2 linked regions of the Drosophila melanogaster genome follow. The protein of the gene in region 1 purifies or fractionates together with the protein of each later gene. This does not show direct contact. Each region holds a gene or a part of one and is shown on either strand. Other genes may lie near its edges. The genes, in order: Hsp67Bc and stv.

The links.
Region 2: the proteins of Hsp67Bc (region 1) and stv purify together in Drosophila melanogaster (affinity purification with western blotting; one study listed by BioGRID). This does not show direct contact.

The regions. Positions count from the first base shown.
Region 1 is NT_037436.4:9,370,724-9,374,447, reverse strand, and holds Hsp67Bc (heat shock gene 67Bc), read left to right. Parts: upstream 1-1,950; 5' UTR 1,951-2,130; coding exon 2,131-2,730; 3' UTR 2,731-2,937; downstream 2,938-3,724. Other genes in the region: Hsp22 (heat shock protein 22), read right to left, coding at 1-197; CG4456 (uncharacterized protein), read right to left, coding at 1,004-1,058, 1,127-1,286, 1,353-1,473; Fdx1 (ferredoxin 1), read left to right, coding at 3,430-3,544, 3,632-3,683.
Region 2 is NT_037436.4:13,475,437-13,483,564, forward strand, and holds stv (starvin), read left to right. Parts: upstream 1-2,104; 5' UTR 2,105-2,791; coding exon 2,792-3,046; intron 3,047-5,007; exon of another isoform or gene 5,008-5,166; intron 5,167-5,327; exon of another isoform or gene 5,328-5,478; intron 5,479-5,596; coding exon of another isoform or gene 5,597-5,599; coding exon 5,600-6,933; intron 6,934-6,998; coding exon 6,999-7,317; 3' UTR 7,318-8,079; downstream 8,080-8,128.

The sequences.
Region 1 (3,724 bases):
AGTTTGTAGCCATCCTTGTTGACGGTGGCCGGCGGAGCGAACTCCTGCTCCTGCCAGCGGGCAATCTGCTGCCAGTTCCTCGGTAGCGCCACACTCCAAACGGGCGGCTCGTGGAAGAAGGCGTGAAAGGGCGAGGAGAGGCGTGGCATCCGTGCCATCTCCTCGGCCATGCGCCAAAACATCGGTAAGGAACGCATTGTAGTTAATAAGGTAACTTGGTTTTTCCAACAAAAGCTTCTTATGCAAATTCGAATAATTTGATGAAATTCCGTCCAATTGTTGTCTTTGAAATACTTCTTGGCTTTTTTTTAAATTTTTCCTCTATGTTTCGAAGATAATCTTGTTGTCTGAAGTTTCAATCCTATGAAATTTCTATTTAGCTGGCGAAATTTTAATTTAGTTGACTTTCTTCGAGTTGTTAGCAGTTGGTTTGGTTTTTTTGAACTGAGAGCGCAGTGTCCAACCGGTGGCTATTTATACTCTTGGCAGAGAGGAAATCCATATAATCTAGAAAATACCGGCACTCTCTCGAATTTTCTTCGCCCTTTGCTGATGCAATTTTCCACTTTGCCTGAAATCGGGCAATGGCATTTAGTTAGGGGTTGTTCACTGTTCTTTAGCGAACTCCGTGGAAGTTTCTGGGGCTCTCTGGGTGTCCAAATATTACTTTATTTACCTTTTATTTTAGCATTTAGCGAAGTTCTCTCTCGCTGTTGCGCCTTGGGGAAGGTCAGTTTCCATACGCAGAGAGACAGATTGAGAGAGCTCCATTAGAGAGTGGGAGAGAGAAAGTTTTGTGGGAGTGCACAGCTTTCTGAGTGCGAGTGTATACGTGTGTGTATTGATAAGCTTGCCATGGGTGTAGTCAAGAACTTGAGATATATGAAAAATACAGCTTAATATTAACAAATAATTAAAGTTTTCTGTTTTTTTTAGCTATTAATAATTAATTAATTAATTAATATTAATCTTCATTTATTCAGAAATATAGCGACGTTTATCGTCAAAGTCCCTCCTTTTGAGCCCATTCATTCCAGGAGCCTTTGTAGATCACCACACTAAAATGAGCATACATATATGTATCCGATATAAACTATTGCAACTATAATACAATTTTAAAACTCACTTGCTGTATCCCTGACTTTTGGCAATTTTCTCTGCTTCCAAGACTCGATTTCCCGACCGGCAGGTGAATATGATTGGCGACTGCTTCTCCGGCTTCGATCTTCCGTACTTGTTTTTAAAAGCAGATCCATCCAGATTTAGAGCCTTGTCCAGTTCATCCACTAAGTAAATAAATAGTAATAAAACACATAGTAATAAAGCAAATACTAGGGAAAGTAGTTTATTACAGGGTATATTGATGCTGGCTGGAATGAAGCCCGTCTGCTGGAGCTCTTCCTTCCGTCGAACGTCGATAAGATACACATCCGGATGGTTGGGCACATCCTTAACCTGTTCGTACGTGGCCATTGTAGTTATGGGGCGGAGCACGAATTTCAACCGGTTCGCCAGCTGAATAACAACTGACTTGCCAGCTGGGCGCAGATGATCCATTTATGAGGTTCAAGATTAAAGATTCGGGTATGTACATATGTATGTGCGTACTTGCTTATCGCATTTTGATTATCGTGGTGTCGTCTTGTTTGTCCAGCTGACACTGGAGATTGCGCCTCTCATCTGTATCCGATTTCACTTTGAATTTGAAATTAAAATCTTATGGTATGATCTCCAATACAGAGCTTGCTATCTGCACTCATTTTATACATACATACATACCTTATGGCGGATCACATATAACAGTTTACAGTCTACGAAAGCTTGGCCCCCAGAAGGTTCCCAGTTGTCTCCCTAGAATCAACGAAACAACGAGTTGCTGCTCCAGAAAAGCTCTGTGGCAATGGGCAAAGCTCTTCCGTCTCTATAAAAGGGCGCAGACAAACCGTTAAACTCCACATTCGAGTCGGAAAAGTCAAGGTGAATTGTGCGCCAAACTGCAGCTGAGATTGTGGATTCCACCACCCGCTGGCAAATCAACCCCTTGGATACTTTTTGAAAGGAAAACAGGTCGTCGGTTCAACGAACCTCCTTCCGCCAGATACACAAAGAAGTTAAGCAAAGAAAAGTAAAATGCCAGATATTCCCTTTGTCTTGAATTTGGACTCCCCGGACTCCATGTACTACGGCCACGATATGTTCCCGAATCGCATGTACAGGCGATTGCATTCGCGGCAGCATCATGATCTTGATTTGCACACCCTGGGTCTGATTGCCCGGATGGGTGCACATGCCCATCACCTGGTGGCCAATAAAAGGAACGGAGAGCTGGCTGCATTGAGCCGCGGTGGAGCCTCAAATAAGCAGGGCAATTTCGAGGTCCATCTGGATGTGGGACTCTTTCAGCCAGGTGAACTGACCGTCAAACTGGTCAACGAGTGCATTGTGGTCGAGGGAAAACACGAGGAGCGCGAGGACGATCATGGACATGTATCCCGGCATTTTGTTCGCCGCTATCCGCTGCCCAAGGAGTTCGATTCGGATGCCATTGTTTCCACTTTGTCGGAGGATGGAGTTCTCAATATCACGGTTCCACCATTAGTTTCCAAGGAGGAGCTCAAGGAGCGCATCATACCCATTAAGCATGTGGGTCCATCGGATCTCTTCCAGAATGGAAACGGTCATAAGGAGGCCGGTCCGGCAGCTTCTGCTTCAGAGCCAGAAGCCAAGTGAAGAGCCCCCTCCTAAAGATTGCAGCCTAAGCAGCCAAGTGATTTCCCAAGACTCTCGTTTATCGTTGCACCAAAAAAAAAGTCAAGAAAATATCGCACAAATCGTATTATATTTATTAATTTATTATTAGCTACATTTTAAACAGTCCAATCAAATTTTAAGACTAATCGAAATCCAGTATTAATAAAGGAATATGAATGTCTCAGTAATCAAAAGACTTTTACTAATATTTAAGAGCTTAATTCATATCAAAAAGCACGAAATCCAATTTTGGGTACAATATTAACTTTCCTTTGTTCGATTAGACAGGTATTAAAAGCTGTGCATATTAAAAATAGGTCCCCGGATGTCAATCCTACTTAAAAAAGCTTTGGTTAGCCTTTTCCCAGGTGCGATTGAGTGAACTTTTGAACTTTGAAATGAAAGCCCGCCATAAGTGTAATTATCGATAGCTTTTAGTCATCTTTCCAAAACTATCTATCGAAGTAACAGTTTTTAACAAGTGGTAAGTCAACGATAAATTTAATAAAAGAAACTAACATTTAATTACACAAAGTATATATATTATTTTTAAAGTTATTTAGCAGATGGAGTACATTATAAACTAATTTATTTTGTTTGGGATTATAATCTGAATAATAAAAACCCGTGACATATTGCATGTTGCCCATCTCCAGCTGGCACTGTAACCTCAAAAAAATGTTTTGTTTACTTTTGCGCCGCTCTGCAGTTCATAATTCCTGCAAATTAATCAGTAAACAGATTGCCAAGCCCGCGTTCTACACACCCCACAATGCTCTGCACACCACAATACGTAAGTGGAGCCTTTAAACCTACAGAATCATCACTATATTATGCCGAAAACCCCCACTGATATTATGAAATTCGGTTGATTTTACAGCGCGGCGGCATGGCGAGTTCGAATGGCAGGATCCCAAGTCCACGGATGAAATGTAAGTCCCTAGAGAGAAGCTAATTGTACACAATATAACCA
Region 2 (8,128 bases), 4.1 Mb from region 1:
TTTACCAAAAACACAAAATAAATAGATTGCTAGACTATCACATTGAAATACCAAATTTGAAACTCATATTTGTTTCACTTTGTTATGAGAATCGGGGGTTCTTCGATTTCAGCACATTTAGCTATATATACAATTGCTTTTGATTGACTCATTCAATGCGATTTGTTTTGACGGCTTACGTTTCATTTATCAGGCCATAAAAGGAGCAGATCAAAATTCAAAAGAATTATGTGTGAGATACTCTATTTACCCATAAGCTGCAATCTTAAAAATTTGATGCTTTATTGGTAAATTGATACAATAACTTCACGAGACTGATTTATTTATCTTGACCCGTTTCAGAAAAAAGATATATTTACATTTGAAATACGAGTTCCGAGAAAAACGTCTGAAATGCATAAATGCCTGGCATTGCATTTCGCTCGTGTATCTACATGGCAAATTATAAAAACAAAAATCGCATGTATATATATAATCAGATATAAACGTATACAATTCACTTCTATATCTATACAGAGATGTGCAATATTTAATTATGAATTATTTCCATTTTATATGCCCTGGCGACGCAGTGGTTCGCCCAAACAACGAGAAAGTATTTGGAAAATAAATCTAATGGATAAAGATAGGTGGGCGTGCCGCCGCCGGCCGTCTGATTATATACATTCATACAGACGAGCATGCATATTCTCACAGATCTACAATTGAGGTTAATATACTAATAATGAAACAATTGAGAAACGTTTAAAGAAATCCTATCAGCGAAATGGATACGGAAATGATACAGAATAATTGTAATTATACCAATCGTGCCCCAGCAAAAATATATTTTTAACGATACTTTAATAAAAAAAATATTCTTGGCTAAAGCTTCAAGCAACCGATGATTCAATAAGTTATTTAAGTTATTTGACCTATATTCTGACCAACTTTGTTCTCAAATTAAATTGAATTAAAATTGATTTTTAAGTTTTTATAATTTTGTGATGGTCTCGGAAAACCCATTTTATCCAACCCTATTATGTTGACCAGAGCTGTACGCGTGGGTCACTTCGTGATTCAAAAGAAAATGCTTATGGCGCTGGTTGCTTAGGTGGAGTAAACATTTGGTCCAAACAACTGGCGGTTATCAGCTGATCGTTTTGCAATAACAGTCGACTTGCGAAGACATTCTGTCGCTACTGCACATTGTACATTTGTTTATGGCGAAAACTGAAAAGGTATCAAGTGCGGGGGAGCTGTGGCAACAGATCGTTAGTCATTGATCGATTGATTGGCCGCTCAACAAGACTCCGTCAGTGGGCGATGACAACTGTTTACGCTGCTGATTTTGCCTTCTTTTTGCCTTCGTGTTTGCCTTACTCGTTGCTGCTCTTTGGCGGTTGTGACGCAGTGGTTGTATGTAGGCGGCCCGAAGGCACTGAGATAAAAGAAGATTAATTGAATACTTTTGGTTAAAAATGGCATAATGGACCCGACGGTAATGGTAAGAGAAATACAGATTTTGATTGTCTAAATTAAGCATATTATAACTGATATTATAACTGATGAGCACAACAGTTAGTTTCTGCGTAGGAGTTTGATATTTATATTTTTCCCAATTTTATTCAAGAATTTATAAACCGTTTTTTATATCGCGAAATGGTCATATTCGATAGTTACTACCAACTAGAGTCATTTATCGTGCCAAATTTCCCGCAGTGTGGCTTACGGTTACAGATTTGAATTTTAGAAGCCATGCGACTGCCGAGGAATGCGTTTTAGAGAGCCGCTCTCTTGGCCAACTTTCTATTTATAAGTCTGATGTCTGATCGGTGCACGGAGAGAGAGAGAGTGGGGAGAGCGAGCTGGGGAGAGCGGATCGAGAGAACGGTATCCGTATCCGTAAGATAGTATTAAACATTTACCAATTAAGGTCTGAAACCGCCGGAGAAAAGCCAGGTAGAAGCCAAGCAAAGCTTACCGCGAGAGAAAGATAGAGGGAGGCCGAACGGAGAGCGGATGAGAATCGAGCGGGCGAGAGAGAGGGAGAGAGAGCGCCACAGTGGGGCTGTTGGCAAAGGCAAATTATACGGTAATGGTTAGAAGCAAATGGCGATGGCGCTCAGTCGACGAGCAACTTTGGCAGCGTGAGGACGCCCGTGTGGATGCGTGGCCCCGTAAAAACAACAACAAACAACCGAGTGGCAATGTGCAAAAATAAAAAATCTATATATATTTTAAATTGAATATAGAAATCCGAAAACCCACACTCGCACAAACACTAGCGCAGGGCCAGAGAGCGCGAGCGGAAATACTTAAAAAGCTGAAAAAAGTGGAAGTAAAAAAGTGGCCGTATCGGTGTGCGGCAGCTAGAAAGTGTGGCCAAAAGTGACATCACACTCCGGTCGTTTAGCAAAAAAGCAGCAGCAACAGCAGCAGCAGCAGCACCAACAGCAGCAGCAGGAGCTAAAGCATCAGGAACATACGAGAAGCCCCAATCGAAATCGAGCGGTATTCGCACGCGTCGTCGCTCAAGGTGAGCCCGCGCCCGCACCCCTCCATTAAAAGCCCCCGCCATCCTCGTGCACACCAGCCCGCGTCCAAAAATTAATCTCAACAACTGGCACGACAAGTAGTCGCCGACGAAAAGTCACAGCCAAGTATCAACAAAAGGAAATAAATTAAAAATTGTCGCTACGCAGCGAAACGTCGACGGATTCGATAGCGTTTAGGCCAGCGGTACGAGCGGTACGGATACGGATACGATTGCGATTACGGTTACGGTCTTTTCCTGGCCAGCGAATCATCCATGAAGCCCACTGTGATGGCGGCCAATCAGGCGCAAAGCAATCCCGCCACCGCCGCCGGTAATAATGTCTCACCCGGCGGTCCCGGTGTCAATATACCCGTAAACCGGGAGTACGTGAGTGGCGGCTACGGATCGCCACAGCAGTCGGCACAGTTCCACACTCCCCAAAACGCTTACGGATCGCCCAGGCAGCAGCAGCAGCACTTCCAGCAGCACCAGCAGGTTCCTCCAAATCAGCAGCAGCAACATTTTCAGGTGAGTGGCCCCCAGCGCTTGTCTGTCGAGGGGGGGAGGGGGGCAGGCGGAGAGGGTGGCAGACGAGCGGCAGCGGCGAGAGATCCCAAGGTTGGCGCCTGGCAAGGTCGAACCCCCACCCTCCAGATCTCCCCCGCCCCCAAAAAGCCTCGATCGCATAGCTGGGACATATTCGTATGAGTGTCATGGTTTTTGTTGTTCGCTAGCCGTGTGGCAATTTAAGTACAGTGGGGATTCTAGACGCGGAAACAGTTGGTTTGGAATAATTACAGTGGGTATTGTAGCATGATCTATGTTCAACTTCTACTCAGAAATAGAATAGGAGCTGACTGTGATAACTAAATCGAAATGAAGAGTGATTTAAATATGATAGTCTTGTCTTTAGTTAGTCTGCATCTACTACTACTTTTGTTTTAATTCAACAAAATGTACTTCACAGATACTTATAGGATGGCCAGATTTTTCTAAATACCTTGGGCATTTTCCAAATTACTATTAATGACCGACGAGCTTAACTCTTTGTTTGCGAAATATTCTTGGGTAGGCGATTAAGTTTTATTTATTTTACTGTGCTATGACACAGCGGTTTTTCCATTTGTTTCGCTTTTCGGACTGAATCCTTGGCAATTTCGCATTGCCTTTTAGCGCTATGTAAACTCTCTAAATCGCAATAAGAGTGCGGAACAATGAAAAAGTCAGTGTGGTTGCGTAAAAGCCTCTTCTACTCACCCCTCCACAAAGTGGGTTGCGAGGGAAAATCCAACCCCCTGCAAGTGTGTGTCAAGTGTGTGTGCACACTCTGTTGACCTACTGGGCATAAGCTTGCAGTATCTGCTGGGGGGATGGCCAAGTTTCTGGGCTGATGTCGTGTCAAGCGCTCGTCTAGTGGCCAACGCTGCGTATGATTAATGCCGCAACGCGTGCGGAATTTTACCAGAGACAAGTAATGTACAGCTGTTTCTTTGCGGCCTAATCTAATGGCCAGCAATCCAAATCTATCACGACCAAATCGTAGAAAATATTTGAAAATTTCTAGAAGAAAACACACAAGCTAATGACGCGTTGCTCTGCTGCTAATGCTCTCGTTCTTTCTATTTGGGCGCTGAGAATTGGTCGAATCGAAATAACGCTCTATACTATTGGCCCGCTCTTGATTCTTTAACAAAGTCTGCTGTGCGTGTCTGTGTCTTCCACTGTAGGTGGGCACACCGTACAGTAAACACACAATGGCACTCCATATGTGCGCATATCGGTGGAAGCATGCCAGTTGTCTAATGGGAAGCGTGGGTGGATTTTGGTTGCTCAACATCAACTTGGCCAACGCGGGGGCCTCGGCAATGCGTTGGTGACGTTGACTATATAAAAACGTCATCACCAACTTAACGTACAGTGGGTACGTGCTAAGGTGAACTTTGGACTTTAAACAGATAAAGGTGCCATGATAGCGAGAAGTTTAAGAACTTCTTGTAACCGCAGAAAGGCGTTTTTAAACATATATCTGTTTTACAAAAGGTTTCCCATTTAAAAAAAGCCTTATAAAACCTTAAAAAAATACAAATTTGTATACATACTCGTATATACGACAATTTCTTCAAGTGCGCTTATGTAAGAAAGCCAGTAAATTATCATTAATAATTGAAGGGTATTGTAAAACAATACTAATTGTTGAAGTAAACACACTTATCTTGTCCCTACCGTTCAATTCAGAAAATGTGATACAGTAAAGCCGAATCTTTTATTTCACTGTACTTCCACAAGTCACTTCGGGTAATTGAGTTGAACAGCAGAGAGAGCGTCCTTTTAGGAGAGACTCAAAATCGGTCGTCGAGCCGAACCGAGAACACTCGACTGTCTCAGAAACTACGAGAAGTGGCCAGAATCAGCCAGCGGATTCGAGAGTGGGCGCCATTCGCTTTAAAAGGCCTTCTCGGCCGACGAGTCGCCTCATTCGCACGTAAACAATCGGACGCAGTGCATCACGTCACCAAGCGGAAAAGCATTCAAAAGCTAAAAAGACATTCAGGCTATAGCTAAATACTCGTAAATACACTTGTAGCGAAATAATTGACGAGCAGTGAGCACAGCTCATTGATAAAGTTAACAAATTGAGCAGGCAAAAGGTAAGGTTCCGACATCGACATCGACATCGAGATCCATCCGCTCCCCAACAGCTGTTCATTCAGTGCCAATTGACATCACTTGTTTGCCCACACTCGTACCCAATCTATATGGTTCTGACTCACCCTGTTATTTATAAACAATTCGCCCACCGAGTCGAACAATTTGCACTCCTCTATTGCTACACAGAACAAATACATAGTTGATGTGAAACAGCGATTATTTTATTTAAAATACGATTTTTAACCGGATAAAAGCACTTTTACTTTCAAACCAATATTTGCAACTTAATAAACATGATTTAAATTATAAAAGTAATAACTATTAGAATGTGGTTGCTACCAAAAGAATACCTGCATATTAGAGCTTCTTAGCTAGAATCATTCCGAATTCATTATAATTTAATTATTTATAATTACTCTCTGTTGATAGCAGCCGACCTTTGGATTCGAACCGAACATGGACATGGACAACATGTTCCCGCGCTCGCACCTGGGCAGGATGCACGATCCCTTCGCCGGCTTCGGCGACTCACGTAAGCGGAGCAGTTTGCACGGTCCCAGTGGTCAAGTCCATGCTGATGATGACTTTCCATCCTATTTCGACGATCCAGACTTTGGTTTCCCCCGCTTCTCAACGATGGGCCGCCGAGGTCGAATGGCCGGTGGGGCCAACACTCACATGGACCACGATGATGACTTCTTTAATCGGCTGCCCTCGGAGTTCCGCCAGTATATCCCAGATGGTTTCGGAGGCAGACGTGGTACCGGAGCTGCTCCTGCACCCGGACAAGTTCCACAGCAGCAACAGCCGCAGCCACAGCCGCAGTACACCCAACAGCAACCCCAGACGCACTTCCAGTTCGGTGTGCCGCCCCAGCAACAGCCAGTCTATGCCGGACCAACCCAGCAGCAGGTGCCGCAGACGCCTTCAAAGCGCCTTTGCGATGCTGCCATCCAGACGGAGGATCCTGCCGGTCGCTCGGAGGTTGATTGTGCCCCGCCGACTAACTTGAACCAGCACGGACTGCGAAACACTGTCGACATGGGCGTGAAGAGTGTCGCCGAGCAGGATCAGGGACTGCGATCCCACTCCGCCCCTCCGCCAGAGCAGCAGCAGCAGAATCTGCAGTATCACCAGCAGCAGCAACAGCATCAGCAACCGGGAGTACATAGCCAACCGTTTGGCACCCAGACAAGTCCGCCCGTTCAGGGTCAGCAGTTCAAGACCTACTATGCGCCGCACCAGCAGACGCATCCCCAGCAAAAGCAGCAGACCCCGCCGCCAGCTCCACAGACCCCGGGTGGCACCTATGTGCGCACCATTCCCATCTTTGTTGAGGGTCGCTCCGAGCCCATCATCAATGCCCACAAGGAGATACCGAACCAGAACGCTCCGCCCAGTGCTCAGGCCCAAGCTCAGGCACAGGCATATGCGCAGGCGCAGCCACAGGCACACGCTGCTCCACAGCAGCACAACAGACCGACGCCACTAAACACCCAGGCGCAACCTGAGCAGCAGGTGCCAGTTGAGGGAGCCGCTGGATTGCCGCCACAGACACCACATACCCTCAACTCTATTAACAAAATCCAGGACATTCAGCGCGACGTACTGGAGCTCATGGGCAAGGTGGAGCAGTTCAAGGGAACGCGCGAGGAGAAGGAGTACGCCTACCTGGACGAGATGCTGACCCGCAACCTGCTTAAGCTAGACACCATCGACACAAACGGCAAGGACAGCATTCGTCTGGCCCGAAAGGAGGCTATCAAGTAAGTGACCAGAGTCACCAGAGCTCATTATCGAATTTAATTAATTCAATGATTGTTCCTTGCAGATGCATTCAGGCTTCGATAAATGTGCTGGAGGCCAAGGCCGAGGAGAATGCCAGAGCGGCATCAGGAGCAGCACCTGCACCTAGCGCAACAGCTCCAGCGGTTGACACAGGTGCAGTTGCTGCCTCGGAAGCGGCCGGACAAAATGCGGAGCCAGTGACTCCACAGCCACAGGATGCTACAAAGATGCAGGAACCCATCCCTCTACCAGCACCACCAAATGCTGCTGCCGTCGAGGGCGCAGCTGCTTCGGAAGCCACCGCCGCGGAGGCGACACAGTCCGCCGTTCAGTCGGAGACAACCACAACGACGTCGGAATGATGAACACAGCGCCTCTACAAGGCGACCGTTTCGAAGCAGCTACGCAAATTAACCAAATTTAAGTGACAACAGGCGGAGGATAGAGAAGAGTTCCGATCCCGACTCATCAACGGACAGCGACAGACTTGATTTTACTGAATTCAAAGTAAATGTGAAAGTGAATTTGATGTGTAATGTGAATGTGAATAGGAGGAGCTGGCGACGAATCTTTGCTAGTATTTCGTAGAAGCACAACCGTACTATCTAAACATATGCAAATCTCACGTGTCAACCACTCAACACCCACTCATCCCCACACATCATAACACACACACACACACACACACACCACACAGCGTAGATTATAGGCTAGTAAGAGAATTAATATTGAGAAAATGTGCCTGCATAGAATTCGGAAGTTAACAGAGCGAAAACGATTTGGCAACAAGGGTTGCTTCACTTAAAAGAGCTGATTATGTTTAAGCGATAGATGATCACCATGAGGATATTTTTGAACCTGAGTCCAGTTTTTATACGTAAATTGTACCGATGAGCAGCAACAGGGGCAGCAAGCCGCCGTATGATCTCATACAAATCTACAGCAGACGCGCTTGCTTGCCACAGGCCAACTCATCCATCCAATCACGCCGAGTGCACCACTCACGGCTTTGCTGCAGGTGAATTGTTAAACGAACGTAAACTCTTATAGAAAAAAAAAAAAAACTATGATAACTATTTATGCTACTAATTAATGCGAAAATAAATGTAGATATTGTTGACCATAAAACTGTGTTATCCTTCGGTTGCACAATTATCAAAGTTTATTATCGAA